Macaca fascicularis: one gene and its partner. The protein of the gene in region 1 binds, or shares a complex with, the protein of each later gene. Links are inferred from orthologs where the notes say so. Each region holds a gene or a part of one and is shown in the gene's direction. Other genes may lie near its edges.

What was found. The genes of interacting proteins can lie anywhere in the genome.
Region 2: the proteins of SPINDOC (region 1) and SPIN1 are in contact, whole or in part, in a crystal structure (PDB 7CNA), measured with the Homo sapiens proteins. The link is inferred for Macaca fascicularis from reciprocal best matches to the Homo sapiens genes SPINDOC and SPIN1. Residues at the interface, in NP_612480.1 of Homo sapiens: Phe256, Ala258, Pro259, Ala260, Val262, His264, Phe265, Thr266, Asp267, Ser269, Phe270, Pro271, Gly273, Phe274, Val275, Leu276, Gln277, Leu278, Phe279, Ser280; in NP_006708.2 of Homo sapiens: Met154, Thr169, Tyr170, Glu171, Pro174, Pro206, Val209, Val210, Leu213, Lys216, Gln217, Val218, Glu219, Tyr220, Thr229, Val232, Val242, Tyr243, Ile245, Phe247, Asp249, Asp250, Tyr254, Val255, Tyr256, Asp257, Leu258, Val259, Lys260, Thr261.

What each region holds. Positions count from the first base shown.
Region 1 is NC_088388.1:10,595,630-10,599,709, reverse strand, and holds the start of SPINDOC (spindlin interactor and repressor of chromatin-binding protein), read left to right. Parts: upstream 1-1,243; 5' UTR 1,244-1,478; coding exon 1,479-1,605; intron 1,606-4,080. UniProt on the Homo sapiens protein: Chromatin protein that stabilizes SPIN1 and enhances its association with histone H3 trimethylated at both 'Lys-4' and 'Lys-9' (H3K4me3K9me3).
Region 2 is NC_088389.1:118,702,057-118,706,277, forward strand, and holds the start of SPIN1 (spindlin-1), read left to right. Parts: upstream 1-1,421; 5' UTR 1,422-2,010; intron 2,011-2,158; exon of another isoform or gene 2,159-2,282; intron 2,283-2,838; exon of another isoform or gene 2,839-3,526; intron 3,527-4,221. UniProt on the Homo sapiens protein: Chromatin reader that specifically recognizes and binds histone H3 both trimethylated at 'Lys-4' and 'Lys-9' (H3K4me3K9me3) and is involved in piRNA-mediated retrotransposon silencing during spermatogenesis.

The sequences.
Region 1 (4,080 bases):
AAGGCCGGCCGCGGTGGCTCAGGCCTGTAATCCCACTTTGGCCGAGGCGGGCGGATCAGGAGGTCAAGAGATCGAGACCATCCTGGTCAACATGGTGAAACCCCGTCTCTACTAAAAATACAAAAATTAGCCGGGCGTGGTTGCACGTACCTGCAGTCCCAGCTACCCGGGAGGCAGAGGCAGGAGAATCGCTTGAACCCGGGAGGCGGAGGTTGTGGTGAGCCAAGATGGCGCCACTGCACTCCAACCTGGTGACAGAGGGAGACTCTGTCTCAAAATAATAATAATAAAAAAAATTGACTGCAATCCATATAGACTAGTTCACACCTCTTCTCATACCCCCATCCTACTACGCGATTCTGAATACTACTGTGTCTGGTTTGATATAACGACATTTGAAGATGTTTTTTCAGTGTCAGACATTTTGCATTTTCTGAGCTGAAATCTCATGAGGGTTGCTATAGAAGAGGGAGATGCACATTCCATGTCACAGAAGTAAAAGCTCACCCAGAGTGTGGTTATAGGGAAGCAATGTCATGGCAACTGGACTCTGGTCTTGGGGCTCTCAAGGGATTGCTGTATGTCCTTGGAGAGGGTCACAAAATCTCTGGACTCACGTGTAAAAAATGGAAATCATACCCATCGGGGTGGTTTACGTCCGCTCACAGTCCACTCCGCTCCTCTTCTTTGCCTTCCCAGAAAGGTCCGAAATGCTTTTTGAAAGAAACGATGAGCCGGTCTAATAAAACAGATAATGTGCCCATGGCCACAGAGCCGGCACATGAGAAGGAATTCGGTCTCTACGCTTCCATACCAAGGCCCTTTCCACTCCCCCACCGCTTCTCTTCCTGCCCGGGGCATCTGCTGGCGGAGGAAGGCTTGTCCACGGAAAGGCAAAAGCGACTCCGGATCAAAATCCGGGGGCACCTGGTAGCGCTCTCCACGCCAGCAGAAACGCCCAACGACTTCTGAACGGAGGGAAACCCCCGGGCTTGGCCAGTCGACTAAGACGTCCGCGGTGCGGGTTTTGGGGGCCCCTCTGCCTCCGCGCACTGGGCGGCCCCGGGTCCGCTCGGCCCTTCCCGCCGCCTCCTGGGTCGAGGGATTCCAACGGGGCCGCGTGCCCGGGGCGGGGCCACGCGCGATTGGTCGCGCGGGATCGGGGGCGGGTCCGCGGCTGGCCGGCCGGGCGGGCGCCGACAATGAGCCTCCATAAAAGGGAGCGGCGGGGGGCAGGGGCCCCGGATTGAGCCCTCCCCGCCCGGGCTCCCGACGCGCCGAGGTCTCGGGGAGGCCCGGACGCGCCGGTTGCAGCGCCGGCCGGCGAGCGGCAGGCGGGCAGGTGGCGGGGAGGGGGCTGCGCGGAGCGGGCAGCGGGCCCGGCGTTGTTCCGGCCAGGAGGCGGGAGGCGGTTGCCGGCTGCGCGGCGAAGCCTGCGCGCCAGTTCTCCGGCCACCGCTATCGCTCACGGCCGCACCATGGCCCTAAAGGCCGAGGGCGCCGCACTCGACTGCTTCGAGGTGACGCTCAAATGCGAGGAAGGGGAGGACGAGGAGGAGGCCATGGTGGTGGCCGTAATTCCGCGGCCCGAGCCGATGCTCAGAGGTGAGGATGGAGGGGATCCCACTTCCGCGTCACGGTGCGGGGCCGGGGTCGTCCCTCCCCAGTCGGGTCCGCGACCCGGGCACCTTCTCATCCCCTTCATCCTGGGGCCCAGGCTTCCCTCTCGGATCTGGGTCCAGGACGCGCTCTTGCACCTCCCCCACCATGGTTTGGAAGCTCAGGCCTCCCCGATTTTCCCCTCCCTCCCCCTTTCCCCCGCCCAGGGTCTGGAGACTTCGATCCACGCCCCGCACGCTCCGGATCTTCCGGTGCCCAGGCGCCCCCTCTCCCGGGCCCAGCACCGGAGGCCGGATCCCCAGAGGCGCTGGGTGGTTGAGGCCGCCGTCTCACGCAAGCACAACGGCCGGGCTGTGTTCTAGGCCGAGGGGCGGCGAAGCCTATAGGCCCGAGGCTACAGGCGGGCGCCGCTGCCGACCTCCAGGAGAATTTTAAGGACTCCCCGAGCATGACTCTTTCCTGCACACCGCCCCGCTTCATCCCCATTCCCGGGCCTTCCACTTGCAGGAGCCACAGGTGTCAGGTTCTGGAGAGAAGGGATGAATGGGACTGCATACAACAGCTAGTTTGGAAAAGCAGTGCAGTGCTAGAATGAGATTAGCTTTGGGAGGGGATGGGAAGAACAGTCTGAGAACACTCGCTCTCCCCTCCCCCTTCGCCGATTTCTAGTCCTCAGGAACTTGCAAACCATAAGAAAACAAAGAGCCATCTTTGTGGGAGACTTAATATGCATGAAAATGCAAATATCTTTCCATTCTCCCACCCGCCTTTTCTTTGGGGGGACAGTACCCAGAAGAGGTTGAGAGCAGCAAGGCCATTCATTGAACCTCAGCCGAACAGAATGATGTCTGTCTGCACTGCCTCTCATCCTTTTTGGAACTGGAAGGGTTATAAAATTCATGAGGGAAATAAAGGTCACCTCCCTTCTCGGAGCATGTAGTCCAAAAGACAGGTTGTTTTCCTACTTCTGCTAATATTTGCTGAGTGTTCACTGGGCATTGTCAGAGGCTGTCTCAGTTAATCCTCTCAACCCTGCAAGGGTGGCCTTACCCCCACTGTTAGGGTGGGAATAGACAGGTGAATTCATTCAACCAATATTCACTGGACGTCTACTTTAGGCTGTTTAGGCTAGTGTTTTTAGGCTGGGAAGTAGTAGCAGTAAACAGAGCAGCTGAAACCTTACTCTTGAAGAACATATATATACCAATGGCTAAAGACAGAGAAATAGGTTCATGTATAGTATGTTGGGTGGCAATAAATGGTTCAGAGATCACTGAAGCAGGACAAGGAGAAAGGGGGAATGGGTGTTTAATTGGATATATCGAGTGGTTCAGAAAGTGTTCTCTAATAAGGTGAATTTTGAGCACAGACCCAAAGGAAGTGAGGATGCCAACCTTGCAGGTATCTGCAGGAAGAGCATTTCAGGCCGAATAGCAAGTGCAAAGGTCCGGCAGCACAAGCTGCTGGAAAGATTTCAGTGGAGAGTGGAAGAAAGATTGAATTCAAGGTTTTTGGCCTGAGCAACTGGAGGAACAGCCTTCCCATTTTCTGAGATGGGGAAGGCTGCGGTGCTCATGGGAAACTGGGAATGAAAGTTTGAATATAATTAAGTTTGAGATGCCTATTTATGACATATTCAAGTGGAGAGGTCAACTAAGCAGTCAGATACATGAGCCTAGATTTCCTGGGAGTATCTGGCTAGTGGCGTAAACGGAAATTGCCAGCAGGCAGACAGTGGGATGAGAGGGAAGTAGAGAAGTGTGTAAGAACTGAGTCCTGGGAAACTCCAGTGATGGCAGGTTGGAAACCGAGTCAGTCCCTCATCACACATTACTAAATGTCACTGCATGCCGGGAGATGCAGATACAGATGCCAGAGATATGGATGTAAAACATCAGAAATCTGTGTGGTCATGGATTCTTTTTTTTTTTTTTTTTTTTTTTTTTTTTTTTTGAGATGGAGTTTCTCTCTTTTTGCTCAAGCTGGAGTGCAATGGCACAATCTCGGCTCACCACAACCTCTACCTCCCCGGTTCAAGTGATTCTCCTGTGTCAGCCTCCCGAGTAACTGGGATTACAGTCATGCGCTACCACACCCAGCTAATTTTGTATTTTTAGTAGAGATGGGGTTTCTCCCTGTGGCTCAGGCTGGTCTCGAACTTGCAACCTCAGGTGATCCGCCTGCCTCGGCCTCCCAAAGTGCTGGGATTCAGGTGTGAGCCACCGCGCCTGGCCATGGTCATGGATTCTATGGTGTGGTGAGGAGACAAGCAGTGAACATCCCAAAAACAAGTATCAGGTGGTGATGTGTGCTGTGTTGGAGATGATCCATAAGGGGAATGGGGTGCTCTGGTGAGGGGAGATGGTTCTTCAGCAACAACCCAGAGGAAGAGAGGGAATATTGAGAAGAGATGAGGAAGAACCAGCACCCGTAACTGAGAAGGAGTGCCAGGGAAGCAAA
Region 2 (4,221 bases), on another chromosome or scaffold:
CCACTGTTCCTGGCCTTTGTAAAATTTTTTAAAATTGTATTTATTTTAGAGTTGGGGTCTTGCTGTGTTGCCCAGGCTGGTCTCGAACTCCTGGGCTCAAGCCATCCTCCAGCCTCAGTCTCCCAAAGTGTTCGGATTACAGGTGTAAGCCACAGTCCTGCGTATTCTCAACAGCTCCCAATGTGATCATTACTAGTGGCACATTTTAAATCAGGGGTTGGCGGATGGAGATGGAGGTGGGGCAACATATTTGACTTTGAAGACGTTTTCTGTGAATTTTGGAGGAGCGTGTGTGCTACTAGCATCTAGTGGGTGGAGGCCAGGGATGCCGTCAAACATCCTACAAAGCATGGGACCGACCCCACACGAAAGGATTATCCCATCCCAAAAGCCAACAGTGCTGAGGTGGAGAAACCCAGGGGTCTCACCAACGAGATGAAATCTTCCAACCAGCAGATTTCTTGGCACCTACCTTCTTCCCATTCCTCTGTTTCTGAGATAATCCCACTATAAGACATTAAACAGGCCGGCACGGTGGCTCACGCCTGTAATCCTAGCACTTTAGGAGGCTGAGGCCAGCGGATTGCTTGAGGCCAGGAGTTTGACACCAGCCTGGCCAATATGGCGAAATACCGCCTCTACTAAAAATATTTTTAAAAATTAGCTGGATATGGTGGTGCGCGCCTGTAATCCCAGCTACTCGGGAGGCTGAGATATGAGGACTGCTTGAACCCAGGAAGCAGAGGTTGCAGTGGGCCGAGATCATGCCACCGCACTACAGCCTTGGGAACAGAGCGAAACTCCGTCTAAACAAACACACAAAAAAGACATTAAATACACAAATGAGTGAGTAATTTCTCAACACTTGGGAACTTGTAAGTACAGCATTACACTTTTATACCTCAGTACTGAAATCAGCCCTCTAGTTGGCCTGTGAACGTCCCATGCCTGCCAAGTGTGTCATCTGAGACAAGCATTTCCATTTGTTTGAGTAGGAATCTATCACTCTTATTTGGAAGAAAAGGTGCCAGTCAAACCCCAAAGAGTATTGCTAACTAATAATTGTGCTGCAGTTTAGAGTGTTTAAGGTGCTTTCCAATACCATGTTCTGAAATTTGATCTGACAACGTTTTGGGAGGCGGTTTATTACGATGAGGCTGCGCTGTCGCACTCGAGGAACCGGGTCAGTGACCTGCTGCAGGACACGGGGCTGGCGGGGAAGGGAGAGCGCCTGAACTCAGCCTCCAAGTCCTGCACTCGACTCTGCAGGAGTAAAAACTATTCTTGACGCTACCTCTCTCCCTTCTCCTGCAAACAAGCAACAAAATGCTGAAAAGGCATCTTAACTGAAACGGAAGTCAAATGAATTCGCGTGCGATCATGGGAATTTTTGGCTCCTAACCTTGCGAGTAGAGCTGGGTGACTTCCATTTCTGGTGGGGGAGTGGAAACAGGTTTCTGGGCTTGCAGAAGCCACATCCCGTCCCCACACAACCTAGGCCAGGCCAGCTATTTGTAGGTGAGGCTCCGGGGCTCCAGCTAACCTGAGCTACCTGGGCTGGGCTTTGTGCGGGGAGGCAGCAAGCGAGGTGAGCGGGCGACGACGCCGGCCTCTACGCAGTGCGGTGGTGAAGACGTCTCTTCCAGGGAGTCACAGGAAGCAAATCCATCCTTTTAAAGGGCTCGCGTCCCGCGGTCCTGAACCGGCGCGCTGGAGCAGTAATGCGGCGTTCTCCAAGGTTCAGGGCTCACGGCCCAGCCCTGTGATCCAGCTTCCTCAGTCTTCGCGGTGTGCACTACTCAGGACCACTTGCGGCTTACGTCCCAGGACAAAGGGGGCTTGTCCTTTCTTCAACGTCCTCCTGCGCAAAAACGAAGTCCTTCGGAGGCTGCCTGCCTTCCGGGAGAAGCTGCGCCCCCTCAGGCGCCTGGGCTCCGCGCGCCTGCCACCGCCCATTCACCTCGCGCACCTGGCATTCCGGGTCTCCGGCCCCGCCCTGCCGCCCGCCAGGTGAGAAGGACCGGGCCCCGCCCCCGCCGGCCCCGCCCCGCCCCACTGCGCCTGCGCAGTCGGCCGTCGGCGCCAGGCGCCGGGGCGGCGCGGCCGTCGCAGTTCGGCGGGCGCAGTGCGCGTGCGCCCTGGCTGCTGGGGGGCGGGCGGCGTCCGCGGCGAGGGAGCGGGGGCGGGGAGGCGCCGTCTGGCTCGGGCTGGGGCCGGCGGGAGCGCGAACGAGCGACGGCGGAACCCGTGGGCCTGTGGACTGCAGCCGCAGCGGCCAGCAGGTGAGGCTCGCGCAGGGCGGGCGTGGGTCGTGAGAGGGTGCGGGCCGCCGGCAGGCCAGGGGTGCGGCGGCCTGCCCGGGGGCGCAGGTGAGCGCGGCCCGCGCGGGGCCCGGCGGAGCATTGTCCAGCGGGCGGCGCCCGCACAGCGCCCCCTGCCGGCCGGGCCACGGCGGGGACCCGGGCGGGGCGGGCCTGGGCCTCCGGGCGGGCGCGCGCTCCTTTGTTCGCCGGCCCCCACTCCTCAGTCCCCCCATCTCCGCCGCCCCCCGCCAACATGGCCGCCACCCTCCCGTCCCCAGTTCCCCGGCCGCCGCCGGCCCCTTAGCGCGCGCTTTGTTTGGAGCCGGGCGGGGAGGCCCGCGGGCAGGGGGCGGCGGCGCTGCGCAGTCGGGCGCGGGGAGGGGGCGCTGCGCCAGAATGCGGGCGGGGAGGGGGAGCGTTGCATAATCCCGGGCCGGCGACGGGGGCGGGGCGGGGGGAGGGGCGGGACCCCGGCGCGGCGGGTCGGGTCACCCCGGGGACGCGGGCCTGCCCTCGGGCCACCCCTCCCAGGCCCGGGGGATGGCCGCGGACCTTGCAAGTTGCGGGCTCCGCGGATGCGCGGGTTTCCGCGGCGCCGGAACGCCCACCGGCCAGTCCTCGCGCCCGCGCAGCCCCTTTCCTGATGCGCCCGTCTCCTCGCCGCCCTCCGTGGGGGCGCGGCGAACGGGTTGCGTGCTCTGGAGAGAGACAGGCACTTTCCTCTCCATCGTGAGTGACCTTGGATGTATTCGTCAAGGAATGTGTTGAAATGAATTGTGCGATGCGGGAACTGCGCAGCGCCTCGGGTTTGGCTTTCTCGAGCATCTTATTGCATTGATTGTGCGTTCTCGATTTTACAGAGGTTCGTTTTGAGTAATGGCTTCAGTAATGTCATCGCATACGCATTTCGAAGTTTGTTTATGCATTTGTTTTTACATTTATTCTCTTTTTATTTATAATTTTTGAATCAGATTTTGTGTTTTGGAGAGATTTTCCGTGCGTGGTGGAAGTGTTTTTACTCTTGGTAAATATGGATTGTTTGACTATTTTATCACGTTCATCGCAAAACAATACCAGGAACATTTAAATGTCTTAAAGGATTTCACGCTACATGACGTGTGCCAAAGACTACTTACGCACCAAAACGCGAATACCTGTCTAACTTTTTTTCTATTGGAATTTTCTGGAAGGAATTCTGTGCAATCCGAAAGGATTGATGGAGGGTACAGTAATTGCTTTCTACATCGCTTTTGTTAAACAGTGAAAATTAAGCTTGGAGATTTATATCTGGACATACTGAGTTTTTAAACACTCTTTTGAAGTGAAATTTGGGAAGGGCAGGTAAAATGAGTATTCTTCCAACCTCCCTACTCCCCCCATCAGCTTTAGTTAAAAGGCAAACACCAAAATATTGTAGTAGCTGGTAATTTGCAGAACGTTTGTTTTCAGATTTGATAATTATATATTAAGGTACAGTATGTGTGTGCTAGTAGATCGTAGATTCTTACGAAAAATAGAATTTCTTTATAATCTTTTGAGTAGCGAAATGGTTACTTTTACAATGGTTATGAATTGGGTTAAGGTAAAAGGGCCAGTATATGTCTTCAGTCATCTTTTTATGCCTGAAATCCAGGGAACAGTGAAAATGGATGTTCCCTGGAACAGCCATTGCGATGCCATATGTTGATCATTGGTGTCCTTACAGTGTATCTCAGATAATTGTGTGTCTCTCTTGTGAACTGAGGGATCACAATATTGATGTGGCTGATGTGTGCCCCTCTGCATTTTGTGGGTAGTGTCTCAAATTTGGCTATCATATTGATGAGAGTTATTAATTTGGTTTTTATTTAGATGGTTTTCACTTCCGAGTGACTTACCTGATTGCACTTAGTTATAACGTTACTGGTTGCACTCCTTA